3 linked regions of the Medicago truncatula genome follow. Each later gene encodes a partner of the first gene's protein in a complex. Links are inferred from orthologs where the notes say so. Each region holds a gene or a part of one and is shown in the gene's direction. Other genes may lie near its edges.

Region 1 (8,243 bases):
GTGCTCCAACGAGGGGAACTCAGTCCCACCATCCTTCGTTCTTTTGTGCATTCTTGTCTAATTTGAATTGTGACACTATGTGTATTCTCTGACAAGATAATATCAATTTGCCTATCAATTTCGAATTGTGACACTATGAACCCATTTTGCTTGCAGAATATTTAAAATTAGTTATTGTTGTTGCTTTATTCCTATTAAATTATGTTTTAAACACTATTTTTGTATCAAATTAACTATTATGAGTCTTTGAGTCAGTCATACAGAGATTATATGCATGGGTTTACGTAGAGTCTTGAGTTTGATAACTTTGGACCTAACTCAAGGGAGTTGAGGACAGGGTTAATTTGTAAAACTGTAATATTATTTATGCAGGTCTATGTGTTCCGTTTTTGCTTATGTATGGTAAAATTAAGGAACTTCTATATTGTTTTTTGAATGAGCTTTGTATAGTACATTTTGTAAATGATTTCTTTTATACTTTTAATTTACTGCTAACAAGTAGCAACTGATATGACTGTCCATCAATTTGCTTTTATGTAATTTAGTTGTCTTTGCTTGAACACAGGTGTTTTCACTATCTGTGGATGAAATGGGAAATCTAATTAATCTTGGTGCAAGGGAGTCTTGTGAAATTTTTCACGATCCTTTTATGGGAAGAAGGTAGTTTTTGTGCTCTACCCTTTCTAATTATTTTACTGAATGATAGAGCATAACAGATTGAAAGTTTCTGATCTTTGCGTGTTTTTTCTTGTTATAAAAATAGACTTTCCTTCTCAAATAGGAAGGGATTTGGTGGTGTCTTCAAATATGCAATTGTCACGGGCCTGCTTTTATTGTGTTATTTGAGTTTATCTACTAGCACTTGTGAAACTGTTTGAGAGAGGTCATGGAAATAACTTATGATATGTCCATAAGACCATAAGCTGTTTTCAGCTTATTTACTTAAGCTCTTCAGGATAGTTAATGAAAATAGCTTATAGCTTCTATGAAAACAATTTAACTATTTTATCTTTTCTTGTAGAAATAGCTTATACATAAGCACTTATACATGATAAGCTTTTATGCTATAAACACTTAATTAGGCTGTTTATCCAAACAGGGCCCATATATGCAGATTCATACGCATTATAATTGTTAGTGAAATGCTATAATCTTTCCTGTTTTAAAAAAAAAATAATGCTTACTAACCGAATAGTTAAAAGTATTCAATGTCTTTGCCAAGATTTAATGTTAGCATGACAGTTTATAATTTTAAAGAATTTGGAAAAGGCTAACATATGTTAAGGAACTTAATATGTAAATTTTGTATTTGAAATTGCCAATTTATTTCTCAAAGAGTTGAAACTTAATTTTTTTCAATAAATATTTATTGTGGAATCCTTAACATGTAAGGGCACATGTTAGCATGACCCTTTATAATTTTACAAAATTTGAGAAATTGTCTTGTTATGCAGTGATGAAGGTAAAGTGAGAAAAGTTTTAAAGGTGGAGCCACTTCACGACGGTTCCGGTCACATGTTTAAACTAAGTAATGCTCTTCATAAACTGCTGTTAATATATATACTTCCCTTCCATCGGGAAATTGTTAATATATACTCTTGGATCGATTCTTTCCACCCTGCACTAATATAACTTCAATTCTGACATTGTTTTGTCAATTTTCGAAGGTGTCCAAAACCAGCTCAAGAACATCGATGAGAACATATTTATCCCTGTCACAAAAGCGGAATTTGCAGTTTTCAATTCACTTTTCAGTGTATGATCTCTCTCTCTCTCTCTCTCTCTCTCTCTCCCTCTCTACCCTTGGTCACCCCCTACCTTTGTTTTGATTCAAGTGTGTCGTAATTTTATCCCACTAAAATTCTAGTGTAGATATCACCTTACTTATTTAGAGACCAGCTTATTTTAGAAAAGCTTTTTTTAAGCAGAAATGACTTTTTGTTATTATATACCATAGAAGATGCAATCAAATCTATTTCATGTAGTTAATTTTCTTGCAAAATAGTAGCTTCTCTAAACATTCTATCAAGAAAATACTTGTCTAGCTAAATTAGGAATATGCCTTTTGCATAAAAAGTGTGGGGAAATCTTCAAGGTTTATAGAATTTCTGCTTTTGTCTAATACAATTCATAATTAGGAACTCCTGATTATGTTTAATCAACGTTGTAAAATATGTGGCCATACATATAGTTTTTTTACTCAAAAATTAAATTAAAATAATAAAATTGGCTTCGCCCGGACTCGAACCGGAGACCTTCAGTGTGTTAGACTGACGTGATAACCAACTACACCACGAAACCTGTTGTTCCTAAATGTAGTTTTTAGGAGTATATTTTGTAACTATCAGTAATCATTGTATGCTCTGGTGAATCTATATTTATTCATCAAAGCCAATCTTCCGCGAATGGACCCTCGACAATATGTTTTTTGCATGAGTAATTGCATATTGCTCTTTATGCACTCAACTTGATTAATATTGTAAATTTTGTTGATTTTCTATGCAGTTTATCATGCCATATCTCTTAGGTTGGAATGCCTTTGCCGACTCCATAAAGCCAGAAGTAAATATTGCAAACCCAAGAAGAAGAGAAGAAGACTTTGAATGGAACAGATAGGGTGATCTGCAGTATTAATGACCATAGAAAGTTACAATACACCATCTTGTATGATCTTATTAACTTTAGAATGTGTTAAATTAAATCACCTCATTTTGAGAAGTATCATTATTGGTGCACATTTTTTAATTCAATTGTTTATATAATCACTTTTATAAAATGAAATAAAAGTGTCTTTAGTTTTAACAATTTTTACTTAAATTGAAAACCGGAGTGAATGTAACTGTTTAATTTTATTTTAACCTACAAACAAGATGGATGATACTTATTAAGTGGCAAATTGCTGCAAACACAAATGATGACATATAAGATTTAAACGAGTCTGAATATTTAATATATTCTGTGCTAATCATTTTGTTCCCTTTCAATTTTAACTGAACTTACACTCTTAACTTCTTAATTGATAAATAAACGGTTACTGTATTATTGTACATAAGCATAAATGATTTGGTTCAATATTTACAAAGATCATAGAGATTGAAGCTCAGAATGAGTGGTTACCATTCATGCACACAATGCTTTATTGTTCAGACTAATTATAGTCTTAATGAAATTAAATTATTTGAACACTTAAAACATTTCGAAGAAATTGTTCCATTCAGAAGCAGAAATAACCAATTCTGCATGTTGTGAGTTTACATTGTCTTATGGTAACATCCTTCTAAAAATAATCACTAAAGAAAAGGAGGAAACATTAATTAATCAGCTTTTACATCAAACATGTCCAACAAAATAATAAGTGGCTATGCTTGCATGATATGAACATAAAGTTCTATAGAAGCAAGCAATTGTACCACCATTATGAGATGTTTGGCTTGAGATATCTAAATGCTACATTTCATAAGTTACTATGACCATCTCATTTTGAAGTAGTAGTTGATTTGACTTTCATTTTAAGGGCTGGAATCAAAGCTAGGCTTCTCAATAATAGTAGAAGGTCATTTCAAACTATTAATAGTTTAATGTAGACCTCCAGGAAACAAAAAAAAAAATGCAGGCCATACAAAACATGTGCGAATAAGATGAAATGAAAAAGAAAAAAATGCAGGCCATTTCAAATTATACTGATCTAGAATCAAGAAATCTAAATATCTAATAAATGGGAATAACATAACAATTTCTCAAACTAGAGATTCAATCAGACATTAATTAACAATGATCCATGAAGTCACCAATGATTAGAACAAGTACGAAATAAATAACATATTTGGAAATTAAGTTGCAATCGAGTCTAAAGTTCAAGTCAAATAGAAACACATCTACATCTTTAAATTAGAAACAAGGTGATATCAAACTTTCAGAGACTACCGGGCCAATCTCACTATTGATGGGTCGAATCTTTGAAATCTAAAGAGTGCCCCGTTTGAAATTATAAACAACCAAATTCCTTTTTGCCCTACATCCCAACAATAATTGATCATCCTTAAAAATACATATCACCTTGTTATAGCATAAAACAGTGGCGGAGCCATAAATTTTGTAGAGCCTTGGCAAAATATTTTGCCAAATATTTTTAGAATACATATTAAATAGTTTTAAGATATTATTATTAATACAATAGAAAAAAAAAATTAAAAAAAAGTACCATGGATCAAACACACGCCCTTTGAGAGTTAGGGAGCTCGCCAATCCACTACAACATCAATGTAACATATGATAAATTATGGATAATATGATAATTATAGGTAACTTGAGGGCTGCAGTGGCTCCTATGAATCTTCTAGGAGATCCGTCATAGAGCCCGGGTGTGCCCAGACTAGCTGAGTGGTAAAACCGCCCCTGCATTATCTGATGTTTGACTGATGAAGGAGTGTGGAAATGAAGCGTGTTGGACTAAATCATTTAATTTTCAATTTGCTAAAAAAAATTGGCTTAAACCATTTTTTTTTTTTTAAATAGGTCTATAAACTAAAAAATGTGTGCCTAAACCAATATGATCTTTGTAATAAGATGCGTTTGTTTTGTTACAGTCTTTGGTCGGAACTAATTATGAAAAAATTGTATTAGTACATGATTTGATTACAAATTTTTTAGTTTAACAATCTATATAAAACTTTCTAAATAGTTTAGAGACATGCGGTGTAATGTGTGTGGGAGAGGGAAGAATGAATAATAGAGAAAAAACAAACTATTTGCATTAGAATTCAACAAGTGGTACAAAGAGCCTTTGACACGAGTCATATAACAACACATGGCACTGCTAGAATTTCTCAAAGGCCATTGAGAAAACAAACATAACCACTTCTCCATAATAGATCACAGATATTTAACTTTAATTTGTGTCTGAATCCATTGCCATTCTCAACGTGATAGGTACGTCAACCTCTCAAATCACTTGTCTATTCTTCATGCATTACAATTTCAAAGCATTGCACTATAAGTTTACAATTGCACCATGTTTGTTCATTGTTTTTTGAGGTTGACATTGTTTATGTTATCTTATTATGATTATGATAAACAATTTCTTCACCAAATTTTGTGTTTCAATGATACACATTTGGCCATACCAATCAAACATTAGAATATGAGGAAATAATAGGTATGACCCATGATTAATGTAATAACTAATAAACAATATAAGAGATGAGCAAGTAATATTGATCACTAGCTCATTCATTTATAGGATCAACGTGATAAAATATTGTGACATGAGTATAATCTTGCAACCTAATAAAATGTAATTCATAGCCTTGCCATACAAGTCATTTAGATTTTCAGTCACTTTGGATTCATCTTCATATTTGAGGAAAAAAAATCCTTTGGAATGATAAAGATCTGAGAGAATAATGAACCTGAATGATACTAGCATTTTTTAAATCTGTACATTTTAAATGAAGTGTTTGGTTGTGTTGTGTGTAGTCACAGTTATTTGGATATATTCGCCTGAAAGTGAGTTGATTTCAGGCTAAAAATCACGTTTGAAAGCAAAAGCTTCAAATTTCAAGTTAGAGTTCATTGCAGAAGCAAAAACAAGTCAACTCTAGAACACTCAATCATGTCAAAATTAAATTTTTAATTTTAGAATCACTATAGTCTCTCACAAAAATGAAATCAAAAGTACGCTAAATAGACAAGGTATAGATATTTCTTCTGCTACAGTTCTGCAATTTCATGAAAACCATTGAAACCTGAATTAATAAAAATGTCTTCAGTTCAAAACATGGCACATGAACAAGAGGTCAGAACAAGCACCCAACTTTCAAAATGTGACCGCTACTTCGAAACCATACAATCAAGAAAGAAGCTACCACAAACATTGCAGGAGACATTGACAGATTCATTTGCAAAGATTCCTGTTTCTTCTTTTCCCGGAGTTCCTGGAGGAAAAGGTAAGGGCTGTTAACCATATATAAATGCATTTCAAAGATATCACCTTATGCATTTAATTTGAATCACTACTTTGGCAGTGGTTGAAATTCTAGCAGACACACCTGTTGGTGAAGCTGTTAAGATTCTATCTGAAAGCAACATATTGGCAGCACCAGTTAAGGACCCCGATGCAGGAATTGGCTCAGATTGGAGAGACAGGTACCTTGGCATCATAGATTATTCAGCTATAATTCTCTGGGTGATGGAGAGTGCAGAACTTGCTGCAGTTGCTCTATCAGCTGGTACAGCAACAGCTGCCGGAGTTGGCGCGGGAACTGTCGGTGCTTTGGGAGCAATAGCATTAGGAGCTACAGGTCCTGCTGCAATTGCTGGGCTAACTGCTGCTGCAGTAGGTGCAGCAGTGGTAGGTGGTGTTGCTGCAGATAAAACCATGGCTAAAGATGCTCCGCAAGCTGCAAATAACCTCGGCGAGGACTTTTACAAAGTAATACTGCAAGAAGAACCCTTCAAGTCAACAACGGTAGGCAAACAATGGTTCTACTGTAAACTGTCAGTTTTTTTTTTTTTTTTTTGAGCTTATTGCACTTTTGTTTTAAGCTTTTTTCTTCCTTGGTTGAGAAGAAATCTTTGAAATAAAATATCTCTCCCTAAGAGAGGAGACCATTTCTAGCTGAGACAGGCTGGTTAGCTATTCATTTGGCTTTTGTTGTGTTGATAGTCAATCATATGTATTTCATCGAAAAATTATAGTTGTGTTCCTGCACAATAGAATTGAGAAATGTTTTTTGTTATGTATAGTTCTATAAATTGTGGTCCGCAACTGCAATTGTGGCCGCAATATAACAGTTTTAGAGGTCTCTAAATGACATCACAACCGCAATTGCAGCCGCATTTTACCGCATTACAAAAGTTCACTGGGTAACTGTGACAACAATTTAAAACCATTGTGTGCATAAATTGAGCTAGTTATAGTGTAGCAAAAATTTTGCTTAACCTTCACATAAAAAATAAAAGAGAGATATATGTCGAGTTTTGGTTTCAGGTGCGATCAATACTTAAATCATACCGATGGGCACCCTTTGTTCCTGTTGCAAAAAATAGTGCTATGTTGACTGTCTTGCTGTTGCTCTCAAAGTATAGGCTGAGGAATGTACCAGTGATAGAACCCGGTAAAGCAGACATAGTAAACTTCATTACCCAGTCTGCAGTTATCCAAGGTCTTGAAGGATGCAGAGGAAGAGATTGGTTTGATTGCATTGCAGCCAGGCCTATGGCTGACCTTGGACTTCCTTTTATGTCTGCTGATAAGGTAACGATTTGCGTTTAAAACTTTCAGCTTTCCCTCAACTTGGAGATTTAAAAACACCTTATTTCTTCTTGTCCAGGTTATTAGCATCCAGAGTAATGAATTGATTCTTGAAGCTTTTAAGATTATGAGGGATAATCAAATTGGTGGTCTTCCTGTAGTCGAGGGGCCAGCAAAGACAATTGTTGGAAACTTGAGCATAAGAGACATCAGATACTTGCTGCTAAAGCCTGAAATTTTCTCCAATTTTAGGTGAGCCTAAGTAGAAATTGGGAATCCGTGTGGTATGCATCTCTAACAATAATTACGGAAACACGCTAGTCTGTAAAATCTAAAATCAGATACAAAATTGGTTCTGCATTTTCAAAAATAAAACTCTCTTTGGTTCATCTTTGGTTAAAATACAAAAATAAAGATAATCAAACAAATGACTACAACAACAACCAAGTCTTATAACACCAGGTGAGTCGGCTATATGGATCAAACTACGACATAAAATTCTATCATGAATTGTATAAACCATTGACCTCTAAGATTGAGATCAAGTTTAAAAATATCAATCAATCATAAATTGTATATCTAGTCAAGCCATTGACCTCTAAGATCGAGAAAAATATTAATCAGCTACGGTCATAAGATTGACCACTTAATATACATGTGTGTGATTGTTTGTGGGAATATTTAAGGAAAACAATCAATAGCTACAATTATGGCCAATGGTCATCACACAAGCTTGTAACTTGTAAGAGAACTAATTACTCAACTGAAATGTCTTCTTCACCATCCCTGTATTTTGACTTTCAGGAATCTCACTGTGATGGATTTCATGAAGAAAATTGTCTCAGCATCCTATGAATCTGGAAAAGTTACTCGGCCTATAACCTGCAAGCCTGATGCAACTCTGCAGAGCGTGATTCACACTCTTGCTTCACAGTCTATTCACAGGATTTATACAGTAAATGGACAAGATCAAGTAGTTGGTGTCATCACA
Region 2 (8,394 bases), on another chromosome or scaffold:
TCTATGTCTACACGAAGATATTATTGTTCCAAAAAAATGACTAGAATCACCCAAAAGTAAGTACATGTACCCCAAAGAAAAAATTATCCAATTTTGTGTGTGTGAAAATTTCATTCCTTAGTACTTTTATTAGAAGACAAAGTTAACCCACACAGCAAACAAATGAGGAAATATACAAGTAGAGGTGTTAAACCATGAACAATTGGGCTCAAGCCAAAAAGTGACTGGCCTTGTTTCTTACTCTTCTAACAAAATTATAAATTTGATTTGGATTGCTCATATCCCCCTAAAAAATTCTAAAATATTCCTTAGGTCATAACTCCTGAACCTATTATGACCTAACTCCCGATCGTTTAAATTAAAAAGTTACGATCTGATCCATATCAACAATACAACAGATTCAAGTTATGAGACAGTTCATGAGTTACAACCCGATCCAAGATCAGGACCTAACTCCCGATCCATACTAGAACCCTTGGGAAACACATAAGTTTTGGAAGAAAAAGTTTACAAGAAAAATTGTACTCTTGAAATGGACTCATTTATGGAAAACTATCATAGAAAACTTATAATGACCGAAGTGTAATTCATTGTTAACATCCACTATGACAAGAATAAATGAATAAGCAAATCATTTGGGTTATGGAGTGGCATGGCATTTAGGTTACAAAAATTATCAAAGTCCAACCGTCTCAGCTCAGCATAACCATAATAACCTATTTTTTTCTTATAATCTTCTATCATAAATTGACATGATACACTCGGTTAATAAACAGGAATCTAAATATAAAAAAAAAGAGGCTTGTATACAATAAGTGATTGAATCCACATTATAAAACTTCAAGAATAATCCGCCCAACAATGTGTATGGTGAAACTACAAAGTATGAAAATATAATGTAAGACAGAATTTTAAGAATATCTATAATGTCCTCGATCACTGCTAGACCAAAACATAAAGAGCAATAAATAAAGTTTTTGTATAGATTGGGACCCTACCTTGGATTAGGTTGTAACTCTTGAAATGTCTTACAACTTGAATCAGGTATGTCACCAATGTGTATCGAATCATAACTCCCGAACTTAAGCATTCTAATTGGGAGTTAGATCTACCTAGGTTCGGGAGTAAGGACCCGAGGGGATATATTGGGATGTTTAAGGGGCATGTGAGCAATCTAATTAGTCTAATAAACAACAATTTTCACAAAATTAATATAAGTCACAAGAGAAAATATGTACCACTTAAGGCAATTTTAGCTTGATGTGATTAGCCAAATGATTCATGACCATGATGTCATTATCATTAAACAAATTTCTTTGCTTTCCTTCCTTGAAAATATGTCGTGATAACACATATTATACAACCGTTTGTACTCCTTTGCGATATTTGAGGATGGAGGATCTTATAGGTTTTTGCCTTCCAAGTTGAACATTTGTTGAAGAAGTTGCTTCTTCTAAATCTTCAAGGTAACATACGAGCTTAATCCATAGAGTGTGTGTGCCTTTAAGTTGGAAGATATAATATAGGGTTAGCTTGATTTCAACTCCTTTAAGATTGCACACGAGCGGATTTTTGTCAGAAAAGATACTTTAAAAAAACTTATTTCCTTTGGAAGTTTGGTGGATTTCAAAGACGAAATTTTAATAGATTTTTTAACATTCAATGCGGAGGAAGATTTTCTAGACGATTTCTTAGCAGGGCATGTTCTGAAGATGGTTGTAGAATTGATTTTGGAATGTTTTTTAGGAATAGGTGGGGATGAGATATTGGTTTATGAGTCACTATTTGTGATGGTGTGAATTGTTTTGTCCACTTTAGAAATCTTTTTACCAGTTCTAATCTCAAATAGAATTATGGGTGATCTTTGGATTTATATTCGTTAAAAGACTTGATTTTACTTGGTTTGGCTAGGAGAAGTGGAGTTGAGGTTGTGTTTGGAGAAGAGATGGTGGGATTTTTAGAAGTTATGAAGGTTTTAGGTTCTATCTGAGTTTCTTGGTTTGGTTTTCCAATTTTGGTTGATGTTGAGTTTCAATCAATTTTCCATATTGGGAGCTAATATGTGATACAGTTTCAGGTAAGTTTTCTAGCAATTTCCTTAGTTATAGCCAATTTGATTTTTTTTTTTTAGAAAAAATAGAGATGAAGAGATTTGATAATCCGCTTAGTGGAATAAGGCTTGGTCGTCCATATTGAAGAGATTTGATGAAAATTGCTGGGAATAAAGAGTTTATAGGATAAAAGAGAACATGGAGGATAAAGAGTAAGGGAGTGCTGAGTTGTTAAGCGGAGGAAGGACAATAGAAAAACTCAGTGAGTATCAATAATCAAATGTTGCTTTGGTTGATGAACATGATTATTGATCATAAGCAAGCATGTGTTGCACAATCAAGTGTCCTTTACTCAATTGGTTTAAATGCTTACCGTTATAGAGTTTATCTAACCGTTGTTCTTAGGCTTTCATGGCCATTAATATCATTGATTTTCTATGAAAATGTGGCAACGGTAATGAAGAAATTGATTAAGCATTTAGCCACTTGCAAGATATATAAAGGACGCATGGAAACTATGGCCGGGGAGGAAGTGATCAAAAAACAAAAATCATGTTCATCGTGTTTGGCCTCGAGTGCATGGGTTCAGACATGCAGTAATGTAAACTTTGGGGAGCAAAACCGGATATTGGGTTGCACCGGAAATTTACTTTCAGGGCAGTGATTTTGGCCACGGCATAACAAAACTCTCTTCTTTCTTTCCTAACCATCCAAATTTTAATTTACTCTTAATATTTCCAACAGATTGTGTTGATTGTGCAGTTACAACCTCTATAGATTATTTTACTACATGTTTCGGTGTTGTGGTTATAGCCTGTGCTGCAACCTCCGAAATAACTTTGCTAAAAATCTTGTTTATGACAAATATGAGTTGAATCTAAACTAACAACTTGGTGAAAGCTCTTGTGAGTAGATTTAATTTTCCCTTATAGAATGGACATCCGTTCATACACAACAACAATTATATACTTCTCTTTTTCTAAAAAAAACACAATTCAACCGAGCTCGACTTATCAAATTTTGGGATCCAAAATATTTTTTTTTATATGTATAATACATGGCAAAATCCAACATATACTAATAAGGTGCAAATATAGAACCATAAAGATGGCCTGGTGGTAAACATATGTGTTGGCAACTAAGTTGTACCGGTTCAATGCGGCATTGAACCCAGTCCTTTATCATATTAATGTTTGGGTCTTTTCAAAGAATTTTACTATATATACCTCCCATAACTCAAATATTTCTATATACACCCCATCTTAAAAAAAAATGGGCCCCTACCGGCATGGGCCCTAGGCCGTCGCACTCGCGGCCTATGCCCTAGCGTCAGCCGTGCAATGCCTAAGAAGAGCCATATAACCTTTTTTTTCCTTTAATTAAGTTTTTTAGCATGATAAGCCTCAATATGAGTCAAATTTATCATGAATTTGAGGTCTATATATCTTCAATACTCTCTTCTTTTTTAAATTCAGTTCAACTCTCATCAATCTATTGGACTATGTATTTTTAAATAATAACATAATATAACTTTTAATTTTTTCTTATCTTTTTTTAGTCAAATTTATTATGGACTTCAGGTCTATATATCTTCAATACTCTCGTTCCCTTAAATTCGGTCCAACTCTCCTCAACCTATTGGTCTATGTATTTTTAAATAAAAGTACTATAACTTTTTTTCTTATATTTTAGGCAAAATTACACAATTCGTCCCTTAACTTAATTTCAGGTAATATTTTCATCCTTTATCTTATATATTTTTTCCGATTTTAATCTTTTATGTTACAATCAGGTAGCGCTTTAGTCAATTATCTTTTTCTTTATTCAACTTAATCATTTATATTACTCCCTCCGTCCCATAATAAATGAGTCATTTGCAACAAAAAAAAAATATTATCCCAAAAAATTGACTCATTTTACTTTTCAATAAAATAGTAATTACTTTTTTCAATTATAACTCTGATCAATTCTAATTTCATCACTCTCAATTCAATATATGCTACTTTGCATGTATGATAAGGAAGAATGCACGAATATTTGACAAAACACTCAAAACTATTTTTCTCTCTTTTTCACTTATAGATTTTTTCTTAGAGAAATGTTAACTTGTGCCCTAATGACATAGGATAAGAAATCAAAAGTAGAAATTAAATCTTAAAAATTGTGTATTTTTAATTTTGAAAGCTTTAAATTTTATCTTTATTTTTTGGTAGATAGACGAAATTGCAAAGCCATCATAAACACACAAACACAAAGTGGAGGTACCGGGGTTCGAACCCCGGTCATGACGTCCACTCTAATTATTTCGGTATTTTTGCCAATTGAGCTAGGACTTATGGGACTTTAATTTTATATTTTTAACTTGTGCATTTACCTTCTTAACTTGTACTCTTAGAGGACAAGTTAGCATGAACATTTTTTTTTTTTAATATGTGTGAAATTAACAAAAGACTCACTTAAGATGTGACGGAGAGAGTATAATCAGGTTAAAATGTTTTTATATATTTTGGTATATAAAAAAAAAATATAGTGTTAACATGTGCTTTTTGGGCACATGTTAAGAAACACAAAAGAAGAAATATTGTATAAAATTTTGTGCATTTAATTCATTAAAAAGTTAAAAATTAAATACAATACACACATTTCAATAAATAATTTTTATATTTGAATCATGAACTTGTGCCTTAACGCACAAGTTAGCATTAAAAAAAGGCTTAATTGTATTTTTGGACCCCTATCTTTTCAAAAGTTGCGGTTATGGACCCCTAACTAATTTAAATACAAAACAGCCCCCTATGTTTTGATTCTTTGACAGTTTTGGCCCCCAAGGCAAAAAAAAAAATAAAAAAAATGACACGTGGCACCTCACTTAGGGTGTCACGTCAGCGTTGATCGAGTCAACAATGGACTGGGGGTTCAAAACTGTCAAAGAATCAAAACATAGTGGGTTATTTTGTATTTAAATTAGTTAGGGGTCCATAATCGCAACTTATAGGATCCAAAAGTGCAATTAAGCTTTAAAAAAAATGTTATTATATTCGGGTAGTAACATGACATCTGTCTTTGTTGGAAAAAGGTTCGTAAGTTGTAACAGCCACATTTGAGTCTTTGACGACCTTTAAAAGCCAACTTTGCGTTGCGTGCTCTGCTTGTCTTCTTCTTCTTCACAGAATACGATGCACTCTTAGTTAGGGTTCGTTTTCTTCGTAAATGTTTTTTTTTTTTTTTTGCTTCATTGCTTCAAAATCAACGCTTCATAATCACTTTTTCTTTCCATTTGCAGCTCAGCACTTTCCATCGTCGATCACTTTCTCCCTTCTGTGTTTTGGTTCGGTCACTATCGAAATCTTAAGCAAGATAACTCAAGTCAAGGTAAGTTTTTTTTCTTCATTTTTGTGTTGAATTGTTATTAATCGGTTAGAAATTGTGTTTTATGTTATTGCATTTTGTTTATACCTGCATGCCCCCAAATTCAGTGTAAAAGGGTTTTGGGATTTATTGGTTTTAGTTTTTGTTTCTGCTTAGGAGCAATTTCAATTGGTATGTGTAGTTTGTTTTTGAGGTTCTTGTTATGTGGGTGTTGTCATTGTATTTCATTTGATGAGGGATTGTGTATGTTTGGTATGTGCCTTTGATTTGTGTTTGTGAATGCAACTCAAACAATTATCTAGGTTAACTTGTCCTAGGAAGATTTGCATATACTATCTCCGGTCTTAAATATAAAAGAAAGTTGAATCAACAAAAATCGATGTATCTAGTCCAAATTTGAACCAGATACAACAATTTTTGTTGACTCAACGTAGTTTTTTAGCTGGATTTTTATGGTAGCATTATTTATCAGTTTGACTTGAGTTTCAATAATAATGGCCCGTGAGAAAAATTGAATGTTGAGACCAGGGGGCAATGTAGTCAGGTTCAAGTTTTTAAGTGGAATCGGTAGGCTCGTAAAAGATCGTAAACACGAGGGTCATAGCACGGTCCGTAAGTAGGATTGGTAGGTTTTTGATAGAGTTGAGAGAAAAAACGGAAAATAGAGGAAAAACAGAGGAAACAAGCAAAAAAACAGAAAATAGAGTAAAAACAGAGGCAGCAGAGAAAAAACAGAGCAAACAGATGAAAACAAAAGAAAAATTAACCCGAGTAAAGTCGAAGCACGATTGAGGTGCCGTAACCAGCACTCGATCCTGACTACAATGCCAGGGGTGGATTTAGGTACCACTGGGCCAGCATTGTATTTCAATCTTATTCTTGTTGTAGGTTTGCTGTTGTGAGAAAATTGAGTCATTTGATGGATCTATGTTGTTTGACCGCTGTAGTCAGTTTGACGGTTGGTTTGTAGAAGAGTAGTCCATAGTGTAGTCTCATCAAAATTGCCGTGAAGTTATACTCTGATTAACTATAAAACATTGAGATTCTTGACATTGGTCGTTTTTTGATCCATCCGTGTCTACTTTCCTTCATGGTTCATGTTTTTCTTCGTGATATCTTGGTTATCGGATCTTACAGGACATAGTATAAGATTCATAATATAGGTTGTGTCATATCACATGCCATTATTCTTCCGAATCTTTCATCCTATATTTTGTGATTATCATGAATTTTATCAAGATTCTTGAGATTTCTCCTGTTTTAATGCAAGATCTTTATTCTCCTTCTATCTGTTTGGTAATCTGATACAAAACTTGCAAATTATTTATATTTCCAACTGCACAGATTTTTTATAACGAAGATGTATGTAGAAGTTTGGCAGTTTAATCATTGTACTGTGTTATTACCATATAAGCATTAAGCATTCAATTCAAATATTAAAAATATTGAAATTTGTTGAGGATCACATTTGGTGAAATGCTAACTTGTGATTTGTTTTGTACATTGAAGGATATGTTATCCTCTGTTGAGTTCTAACAGTGAGTGACTGATTATATAGCTACTTTGACTTCCACTTTACATGTATTATTAGGTTCTGAAAATGGTGGCCGTTGTATGAAGAATTATGAATATGTGATTTTATGTTTTAAAGATTAGAGTATTACCAGTAAATATCCTTTGAACATTTATAATCTTATAACTTTGTTCATTACTAAGATATCACACCCCTTCTTCCAAAATAAAAGATATCACCCATTACTTTAATGTGTAATCTATGCCTTGGATTTGTGTTTGTGAATGCAATTGAAGAAATTATGTAGGTTAAGTTGGCCTAGGAGGATTTGCATATACTACCTCTGGTCTAAAATATAAGGGAAAGTTGATGTATCTGGTCCAAATTTTGAACCTGATACATCAACTTTTGTTGACACAACCCAACTTTCTCTTATACTCCCTCTTGTCCTTTTTATAAGAGACATACGATTCAATAAAAGTCGATGTATTTGGTCCATATTATGAACCAAATACATCAACTTTTGTTGACCTACAAGTCTCTTATAAGAAGGACCAGAGGCAGTATTTAGGACATGATGGAGTAGTTTTTTAGCTGGATTTTTATGGTAGTATCATTTAGCAGTTTGACTCGAGTTTCACTCATAACAGCCATAAAAATTGAATTTTGAGACCAGGGGAGATTTAGGTACCACTGGGCCAATGTTGTATTTTAATTGCTGAATAGGCCCTCCGAGTTGCTCAACCTATCAGAACATATCTTCCAATAGGCTTGTTTTTTTGCTCATAGAAATGATCGGAAGTTATCTTCCGATGTGTGTTTTGAGGGGATTTTGCAGCAATGCAAGGGGGCCTGTAAAGCAATTATCTTCAACCATATTCTTATTGTAGGTTTCCTGTTGTGAGAAAATTGAATCTTTTGATGGGTCTATGTTGTTGGACGGCTATAGTCAGTTTTAGAGTGTGTTTGAAGGTAGTCCACAGTGTAATCTCGCCAAAATTGATGTGAAATTATAATCTGATTTTACTATAAAGACTTTAAATTCATGATATTGCTCGTTTGTTGAACCTTCCGTGTCTATTTTCTTTATGATATTGTGGCTACTGGTCATAGAAGACATGATATTAAGATTCTTAGTATAAGTTGTTTCACATCACATACCACCGTTTCGTCGAAATCTGTAATTTGTTATTATTATGAATCTTATCAAGATTCTTGAGATTTCTCCTGTTTTAATGTTAGATATTTATTCTCTTTCTATTAGTTTGGTAATCTGATGCAAAACTTGCAAGTTATTTATATCTTCAACTGCTCAGATTTGTAATACTAATAACAAAGATGCATGTCGAAGCTTGGGAGTTTGATCAATATACCATGTTATTACTGTATTAGCATTCAATACAACTTGTTTAAAATATTGAAATTTGTTGTGGATCATGTTCAGTGAAATGCTAACTTGTG
Region 3 (9,058 bases), about 23 Mb from region 1:
TAATTTTTAGATTCATTGGTAACTGTGGGATATCACGAATTCTATACCAACTTGGATTCATTATTCCCACAGAGCTAACTAAATGATATAACTTTGTGTTTGTATACTTCTAACCGAGACTTTGAATTGCTGACTTGAGTAACTTCAGCATATGACCTAAGTATTCTGTTGTACCACTCCAAAGTCTCTACCAACATAGGATGCTGGGCCTAACATTCAACAACTCTATCAAATTCAATTTTTTCCCCTAAAAAAAGAAACAATTTCAAGAAGTCACTATTATCCTTCAACAAGACCAGTGTGCGATTCATTGAGTCAGATCAACAAGACTTGAAGCTCAAACTCACCGATAAGTTCCTTTCAAAGTCACTATTATCCTTCAAAAACTCTAAGCTAATACGCGTCAAGTTTTGGATGAAAGAAGTCATGGAAGTGTCCTTGCAGGTGTGGCAAGAGTCTGTGCAGAGTGATATTAGGGAGTCTAGTTCTTGAAAAGATGATTAACTTCCAAATCAACTGAAATAAAGTAGATCTTAGATGATGTGCTGTGTAGAGAAATTTTCTAGAAAAATTAGTCTATGATACATGATTTTATCGAATTCTTCCACCTTTGAGACATGTTTTTTGTATTTGTTTTCCATATTCATCTTTGCTATGTTCTATAAGCAATAACATCATTCATAGTTAGGGCTCTGAGGAATGCATAGGTCAGAAAGCTTCATGGGAAATGAAAGGTTGCTATCATGTGTTTCACCATATTTCCAAAGTAGTGTTGATATTTTAGGATATGGACTGTGACATGAGCATCACAAATTTATATTCATCTTTGAAATGTTATTTTATTTTATGTTTTGTATTGTTGATTCATGGTATGTGAACTCATCTTTGTTTATCTCTAATAACCTTATAATCAAGAAAACAGAGAAAATGTTTTTTCACTTAGTAGACAGTTGGGAAATCGCGAATCCGTAACTAGCCAACTTGTTCTTTTATTTTTATTTTGTCATGTATCTTATCATTACGTCTATCCATGTCACTATTTCTTTTTATTTTGTCATGTATATTTAATTATTTTTAGATTTGAATACATGGACATTATATGGATTCATATGATTGGTAAATGATTTTTAGTTTGGAAATGATTTTGATGATTTTTTAGATAAATTTTATGACTACTAACATCATGTTGGATTTATTAAAATCCCACATCGGACACAAGACAACATAACACTATATTTATAATTGTTTAAACTGTCTTTATAAGCTTAGGAGAATGTAAGGGCAATAAATTAACTGTTTCTAACATCTCTCGATTTATTGTCTCCAACAATCTCCTTTTCCATTTATTAACTTCTCTGTATCCGACATTTTTTGGATTATAAAATTTGAATAGTCTTTGATCAAATACAACTCACATTTCAAATTATATATTCATCATAACTCACGGTTTTGATTATATATTCCTTTTAAAATCACTTCATTTTGATCCTCTATAAGAAAAAGAGAAAAACGAAAACACCACAACAACAACGGAAGCTAAAGCAAGAACACCAAAACCCCACTGATCAACCCCCCAACGAGAAACCATGGAGGCCAAAAGGAGGGAAAGCTCAACATGGGCGGTCGAGAACTAGAGGCCAACCACACAAGACACTCCCTATTTCCCTTTCTAAGTACTTCACTTATAAAAAATGTAAAGGTCTCATATTGTTTAACACTCTCACTCAAGGAATTACAAGCATAAAACACAAATGTCAACTTTCTATATTTTAGATGCCAATAAAGAAATAAAGGCACCAAGAACAAATATGATCAAATTACTTTTGTTAGTTTTCCATATTCATCTTTGTTATGTTCTATTTGTGGATTGGAGAAACTTTTGTTTTTCATTTATTTACTAGGTCTATGAGGTTGCTAAAGAAGTCTTCATGGGAAATGAAAGGTTGCCATCATGTGTTTCACCATATTTCCAAACTAGTGTTGATATTTTAGGATGTGGTGAGTGACATATTTATATTTATCTTTGAATTGTTATTTTTATTTTCCTTTTTGTATTCTTCATTTACTGATTCATATAATTAGCTTGTTATATTGTCATGTATCTTTATTTGGCCGAACCTTACTAATCAGACAGACCAGAGCATGACCCTAATTATTTTTAGACTAGAATACACGGACATTATAGGGATTCATATATATAATTTGTTTCATTTTATTCAATATACAAATGATTTTGATGACGTTTGAGACAAATTTCATGTCTGAAAGTAACTACTATATATCATGTTCGATTTATTAAAGTCTCACATCGATCACAATACAACATATCATTATATTTATAATTGTCTCATATGTCAATTTTAAGTGTGAGGCATGTGTAAGGGAAATAAATTATCACAATTTATTTCCCTCAACTGTGTCTTCATTTTGGTCTGCGTATACATAGTTTCATTTTATAGACCTCTATATTGGATGAGAATTTCTTTTTCCGACCTATTAACTTCTCGTGCGCCTTCAAAATTGATTATTTTACCACTGTTAGAACAACCTCTTCAAGTGAATAAGAAATAAGAATTTGAGAAAATGTAAAACAATTGTCACCTAAAACTTATGTTAAGTAGTTTATGTGAAATTGTGAACCTATTGTTAAGAACTTGAAAATATTTAATTCCATCACTAACACTATAACATGCTACAGTGTTGCAGTTTTGTTCATTTTAAGATTTTGGATTCAAAATATATGTTCAAAATTGAAATCTTGAAACTGTGGAATGTTGGCACTAATGCATTATATACATGGCTTCTACAAATTTCATTAAACAAATAATTATATGTTGAACGTAATTTGAAAGAAATACAAAATACTTTAAAAGTTGTATTTATCTTTGAATTGTTATTTTGATTTTGTTTTTTGTAGTGTTGATTAACTAGAATGTGAACTCTTCTTTGTTTATTATCTCTAATAACCTTATAATCAAGAAAAAGGAGAAATTGTTTTTTCAATTAGTAGACAGTTGAGAAATCACGAACTGGTAAATAGTCAAATTGTTCCACAGTGAAGGTTCGTAAACGGTCTTTGGCTGGCTATGTATCAATTTGGAAGCAACCTGCAAAGAGTTGGATTTATTAAAGTCTATCAATGTCTCTCCTTTACTATTTCTTTTTATTTTATCATGTATCTTTTATTATTTTTAGAATAGAATACACCAACGTCATAGGGATTCATATAATTGGGACAAATGATTTTTTAGACAAATTTTATGACAAAAGTAACTACGAACATCATGTTGGGTTTATTAAAGTTCCGTATTGGACACAATACAACATAATACTATGTTTATAATCGAGGTGAAATGTCTTATAAATTATGATGAAAGTGGAGGGGATTAAATTGATTGTCTCTAAGATTTCTCAATTTTGATCCAGCCAAGCAACCTTTTATGATTTTTGCTTGAAGTGCGTACGGGGGACAAATTGGGTTTTTGATCGAATTTTAAATTTTAAAGGATATTTATTTTAGGAATTTTTATTAAATTATGTTAAGAATTTTGTATAGATTTTGCTAAGAATTTATTATTAATGATAAAAAGAAAATAGTAGTAATTTTCGAAAATGTGAATGAATTAGGCGTAATGTCTAGGATCAAAATCCAAGGCGTTACAATTTTGATGATGTTTGAGACAAATTTCATGACAGAAAGTAATTACTGCATATCATGTTGGTTTTATTTAAGGCCCACATCGGACACAATACAACAAAACATTATGTTTATATTAGTCTGAAATGTAAATTAGAAATGGAAGAGATAGATGTGTATGGACATAGATTGTCTCTTAAGCGTCTCAATTTATGTCATATATCATCATTCTTCCATTTTAAACGTTTTAAACCTCTAAAGAGAAGAGAAGAACTGTGTTTATGTTCGTGCACTCTTCAAATTGACCATTTTATCTCCTTTTGAGAATAGAAATTATTTTCTTTTTGCACGTCCTTCAAATTGATCATTTTGTTTTTGTTTAGATTTTATAAACCAAAGTGTAATTGAAATTTTTCGGATATTAAAATCTGAACATGTGTTTAGACAGCTTTGATCAAATTCAACTCACATTGTGTTGCGGATATATTGAAAAGTCAAATTATATATTCATCACAACTCGTAATTCAAATTATGCTTCAGCATCGGTTTGGTAAGTACAAAAACAAATATTTTGCATTTGAAGGGAGTAATGTTAATACAATACAATTTTCACTATGGAGTTTTTGCCAAATAATTTATTCTTGCCTTCAAGCTATGGAGTTTGTGGTCCGTGTTCATAATGTTTATATTATGACGAGGATATTGGGATTACTCGAGTACATGTCATAAATAATGGAAAATGATTGGTAGACCACTCATATTTCCATACCACTCATACACCCCCACATATTCTAGAGGAGAGAGATGGATGAAAGAGAAGAGAGACAAAGTGTTTGTGGGGTCTAGGACACGTGTCACATGTTTATGTGGAGGTTTAAGTGTGTATACCACCTATGGATGTACATGTATCACCACTTTAAATAATTAAGGAATTTGTTGTATTGTGGATGATAAGTAAGCAACTATTGAAGATTTCATTTGTCACACCTTATTATGATGCATAATCATTGACATTTCTATATTTTGATAAGAAAAAATAAGGACACACACTCTAATGACTATGACGCAGCACTCAGTTTGAAGAATAGTTGGGGAAATATGCAACGTATTCATGTATTTGATAATGGGAGTTTGACTAGCCAAGATTTAACTAAGGGACTAATTAAGTTCTCTCAATATACTTTTGCTGCAAGGTACATATTGGTTTTTGGGTCTTTGTAATGAGTTTAAGGTGCCACTGTCTCTCAATACCTCGTTGACAATCACAAGGTATTTACTTTATAGTCCCTCCGTTCTTTGTCTCAAAATATAAATAAAAAAGACAAACTTTTATCCTATTTAATCTTATTTTTTTTAAAAAAAACTATTTTTCAAGAAAAACTTTTGTTTATTCTCATAAAATTAAATGCAAATTATATTCAATTTTCTCTCTCTTTCATTTTTTCCATAATCAATAACCAATGAAAATTGTTTTTACATTTTCCTATAAAACTTTTTTCAAAGAAAGCACAAAATTATACTCTAAAAAACTTTTTGCTTATAATTTGGAACGGAGGGAGTATAAGATATGATGATTAAATTGTAACATTTTCTCTTATTTTTTTCAAAATTGAGTTTTTTTTCCAAAGAGAAACTCGGTATCTACTACACCCTAATTACTTTAAAAAAAAGTTGGACCCTTTGGATATTTATTGTTACTGCATGTCCAACTATTGAATGGTTATGGCCCTTGGCAAGTTGCTAATGATGGGCATGCCCCTGCTTGTCCCACTAGACTAGAGTGAAGGTGACCGCAATTGCAATTGGTCTCCTTAATGGAAGGTCGATTCTTTTTTTTCTTTCACTCAACCCTCTAATTCTTGGAAGAAGGTAGTTTGAAAATCTGAGCTGAAACGTAAGTAAAAGTTAATAAAAATTATATTAAATATTATTTTCAATCTTGAAATTATCCTTAACATCCGTCTTCATCCATCTGAACTTGATTCTTGTAATTATAATTTATATGGAATTTTTTTTCCATTGGTCCTACCTTGTATTTAAATTGTAAACAATTTGGTGAGTGGTCAATTTACAATAGGTCTCTCTCTCTCTCTCAATTCAGAACTTTGCTAGTTTTCAATAGTACACACACGTGATAGTAATCGATTTGGAGTTATCTTTAACTTGTTGATTCAATCATTTGAATGCACACCATCTTCGTCCTCAAGTCCTTTTGGGGAACTTTTATTGCTTTAATAAAAAAAAAGTGTTGCTTACAAGTTACAACTACATGATGTATTATTATAATGTTGTAAATTGTGATTTGGTGATTGCATGATATATATCAAGTAAGATTATTTGCGAAATGGTCAATTATTGACATTAATACATCCAGTTCTATTGAGTTTATATCAATCAAGAGACGAGACTCATATTATATTGAGCTCACACAAGAGGATGATATTGATGATCCATTTTAGAATAATGAGAATTCTAATTGATTATCACCTTATATATATATATATATATATATATATATATATATATATATATATATATATATATATATATAAGGTGATAAGAAGAGAGATGCATAAGAAGTATCATTTGAGAAAGAATTCATGCATTTCAAATATCTAATTGAGTAAATTTTTTAATTGAAGTTAAACTAACCTATCTAAATTAACTTCAGGAAGAATCAAACTGTATCAAACCAACTCAAATGAATTTCAAATATCTAATATATTTGATAAATCAACATATTGTATATCACAAGGTAGTTTATAATCATAATCTTTGTATTCAATATGTCTTGTATTGATTAACTAACTATTAAACCATGCTTATATACGGGATAAAGAGCATATTTTATTAGTTACCAAAATGGAAAGAAAAGAAAATGTCAAATTGTCTTTAGACCGGGGGACGAGACTCGTACATTGCATTTTAGTAGTATTCCTTTGTCCGTGAGTGTGAAGCACGTCTTTTTTTACTACTTTTTTAATACAAAGTGTCTTTCGTTTCGCAAACCCTAGTATAAAAATTGATAGTCAAATATAATAAATATTACATTAAAATTTGTGTTGTCAACTCTTTAAAAATATAAAAAGTGTTATTTTCATTTTAAAATTTCATATTTTTAATTTTCTTAACTAGTATCCCGAGAACACCGGTTAACATGACGCATCAAAATTAGGCTTGGCAGCTATTTCTTCATGCGAATCTTGCATTTTGTCAGCTAATCATTTAGAAATAAACTTTTGTTTTCCATTTGTTGATTTCATAATCTGTAACCCACACTCAGAACTACGATGAATAAAAAATGTTACTAAATACTTCAACAATAAACTAATTCTGTTGGTTTACGATGCAAAATGAATATTTGATCAATGTCAATTTGTTTATAATAGATGAATCAAAACAATCAATTTTGTGTGTGTTAACCCTCCAATTTTTAAAGGAATATTGCCTTAATGATAGGTTAGGAGATAAATAAAGTCTCAGCAATCATTTTTCACCTAAAAATCAATTTGGATTTTCCCCAGCGATAATAACCAATTTTTTTTTTTGTGGTGGCTGGAGTTCGAATGATAATAACTAATTTATATTTTTTGTGGTGGCCGAAGTTTGAACCCCTACCTTACAGATATTATGCATAGTCTTTATCAATAGAGCTAAGCTCACGAGGACATAATAACTAAAATTAAATTCAATTATCCATTAAACATAAAAATTGTACTACTCATTCATTATACCATCTTTTCAATGGATGCACATCTATTCAGAACGTATAATTATATCAAAAATAAAAATTTGTATTATTTAAAAGGTACTTTTGTTCGTTATTATTTAAAAAGGACTTTCGTTCATTGTTTAGAAAGTAGAAACTATTTAAATTTTAAATTAATGAAAATTATCTATTAGCTTTAGCTCAGTGGTACTCCCTCCGTTTTAAAATATAAGCAAATTTTACTTTTTAACTTCATTCCATTAATGATGTATGAGGTTTATATTATGAACCACATGAACCACATAGATCATTAATTGAATGAACCTTAAAAATAAATTTTGCTTATATTTTGAAACGGAAGGAGTAGAAATTTGCCTTGCGATATCAAAATACTTAATTTGAATCATCTCATGATTTCTTTGAGTCTTACAAGTATGATGTCCCTTGAACCTCTCATTTGAGACATTATTTCTTTGTTTCATCTTTCTTATCAAAATCCTCCAACCATGTTTTTTTTTCCTCTTTCTTTTCAAGTGAGTTAAGATCCTCTCCATTTAAATTTTTATCTATTTCTACCATTTAGAGAGATATAGACACAAATTCTTAAAAATAATTAATGATAGTCAGACTTATTTAATGATATGACCCACCACCTACTTTATGTGTCTATATCTCTCCAAATTGTAAAAATGGAGAAAAATTTAAATGAAGAGGATCTCAACCCTTTTAAATCACTAGAGCCTTTATTAGGATTCCTCTTCCTCCTTTTAAGTTTTAATACAATAGTTTTTGTTTGTTTTTCACTTTTTCGTCACAGACGAAGTAAGTTATACACACATAATAAGAGGTTCAAATCTACGACACTTCAAAAGAAATTAAATCTAACAATATTGATGTAATTTATAGTGGTTGATCTTACAAATGTTGCTTGTTTTTTATTTACATACAACAAAGTAAAATCATAGTAAGAAATTAGGTTGTAAATACGATGATATGTGTAACTTCCGTGAAAGAAAACCGTGATTTGATTCTTCTTCTTGTTTTTTAATTACAAGGGAGGTTATTAGGCTAAATTACAAACGAATACGTCGATTAAAATAGACATTGGCTATATCCTGTCGTAAAAGGTTAAGATAACTCGGCAATGGAGGTCCAAATAGTAAGTACACGTAGGTATTAAAAAGGCATAACTCGAAAATCAATCAGCTACTTTGGTTTGTCTGCCTAAAAATATAAGAAACGCTAATATGTTAATCCTTCATTATAAGACGATTAATGAGTGAGACAAACATATACTTTGGCAAAGTGGTAAAGAGGTTGTCATCGATAGACCAAGGCATCTGTTTGATCCCTTGTGCGGACATCTTAAATTTTAATTTGGATCAATTAGTTTAATTTCTTCAAAGAAAAAAGAGAGTGACAATAGAAAAGTAAGGATGTGTGTGTCGAGGGACATCCTTTGTTAACCAAAGATATCGTAATAGTTGAGTCAAATTCAAGAGAAAATGTTGCGCGTATCTTTTTTTTTTAGACATACGAAATGACAAAATTATTATAAATTCACACATAAGTGAAGTTTTTAAATTCGAACCCTAATCATAATGTTCCGCTTAATAATTTCGATATTTTTATACCATAAAAAGTGTAAGAAAATAAAAAAAGTTATCTTTTTCTCTTCTCCCTCATATTTTATTTTTAATAATAAAATTTCT

The links.
Region 2: SNF1-related protein kinase regulatory subunit gamma-1-like (region 1) and SNF1-related protein kinase regulatory subunit beta-3 share a complex: the UniProt entries of both Arabidopsis thaliana proteins name them as parts of the probable heterotrimeric complex. The link is inferred for Medicago truncatula from reciprocal best matches to the Arabidopsis thaliana genes AT1G69800 and AT2G28060.
Region 3: SNF1-related protein kinase regulatory subunit gamma-1-like (region 1) and SNF1-related protein kinase regulatory subunit beta-1 share a complex: the UniProt entries of both Arabidopsis thaliana proteins name them as parts of the probable heterotrimeric complex. The link is inferred for Medicago truncatula from reciprocal best matches to the Arabidopsis thaliana genes AT1G69800 and AKINBETA1.

What each region holds. Positions count from the first base shown.
Region 1 is NC_053046.1:16,855,856-16,864,098, forward strand, and holds the start of SNF1-related protein kinase regulatory subunit gamma-1-like, read left to right. Parts: upstream 1-4,803; 5' UTR 4,804-4,929; intron 4,930-5,604; exon of another isoform or gene 5,605-5,768; 5' UTR 5,769-5,776; coding exon 5,777-5,945; intron 5,946-6,023; coding exon 6,024-6,466; exon of another isoform or gene 6,467-6,704; intron 6,705-6,988; coding exon 6,989-7,255; exon of another isoform or gene 7,256-7,331; coding exon 7,332-7,504; exon of another isoform or gene 7,505-8,056; coding exon 8,057-8,243. Other genes in the region: single-stranded DNA-binding protein WHY1, chloroplastic, read left to right, coding at 566-660, 1,455-1,528, 1,668-1,756, 2,506-2,616. UniProt on the Arabidopsis thaliana protein: Regulatory subunit of the probable trimeric SNF1-related protein kinase (SnRK) complex, which may play a role in a signal transduction cascade regulating gene expression and carbohydrate metabolism in higher plants.
Region 2 is NC_053043.1:46,812,282-46,820,675, forward strand, and holds the start of SNF1-related protein kinase regulatory subunit beta-3, read left to right. Parts: upstream 1-5,108; 5' UTR 5,109-5,244; intron 5,245-5,334; 5' UTR 5,335-5,423; intron 5,424-8,394. UniProt on the Arabidopsis thaliana protein: Regulatory subunit of the probable trimeric SNF1-related protein kinase (SnRK) complex, which may play a role in a signal transduction cascade regulating gene expression and carbohydrate metabolism in higher plants.
Region 3 is NC_053046.1:39,459,194-39,468,251, forward strand, and holds the start of SNF1-related protein kinase regulatory subunit beta-1, read left to right. Parts: upstream 1-5,703; 5' UTR 5,704-5,731; intron 5,732-9,058. UniProt on the Arabidopsis thaliana protein: Regulatory subunit of the probable trimeric SNF1-related protein kinase (SnRK) complex, which may play a role in a signal transduction cascade regulating gene expression and carbohydrate metabolism in higher plants.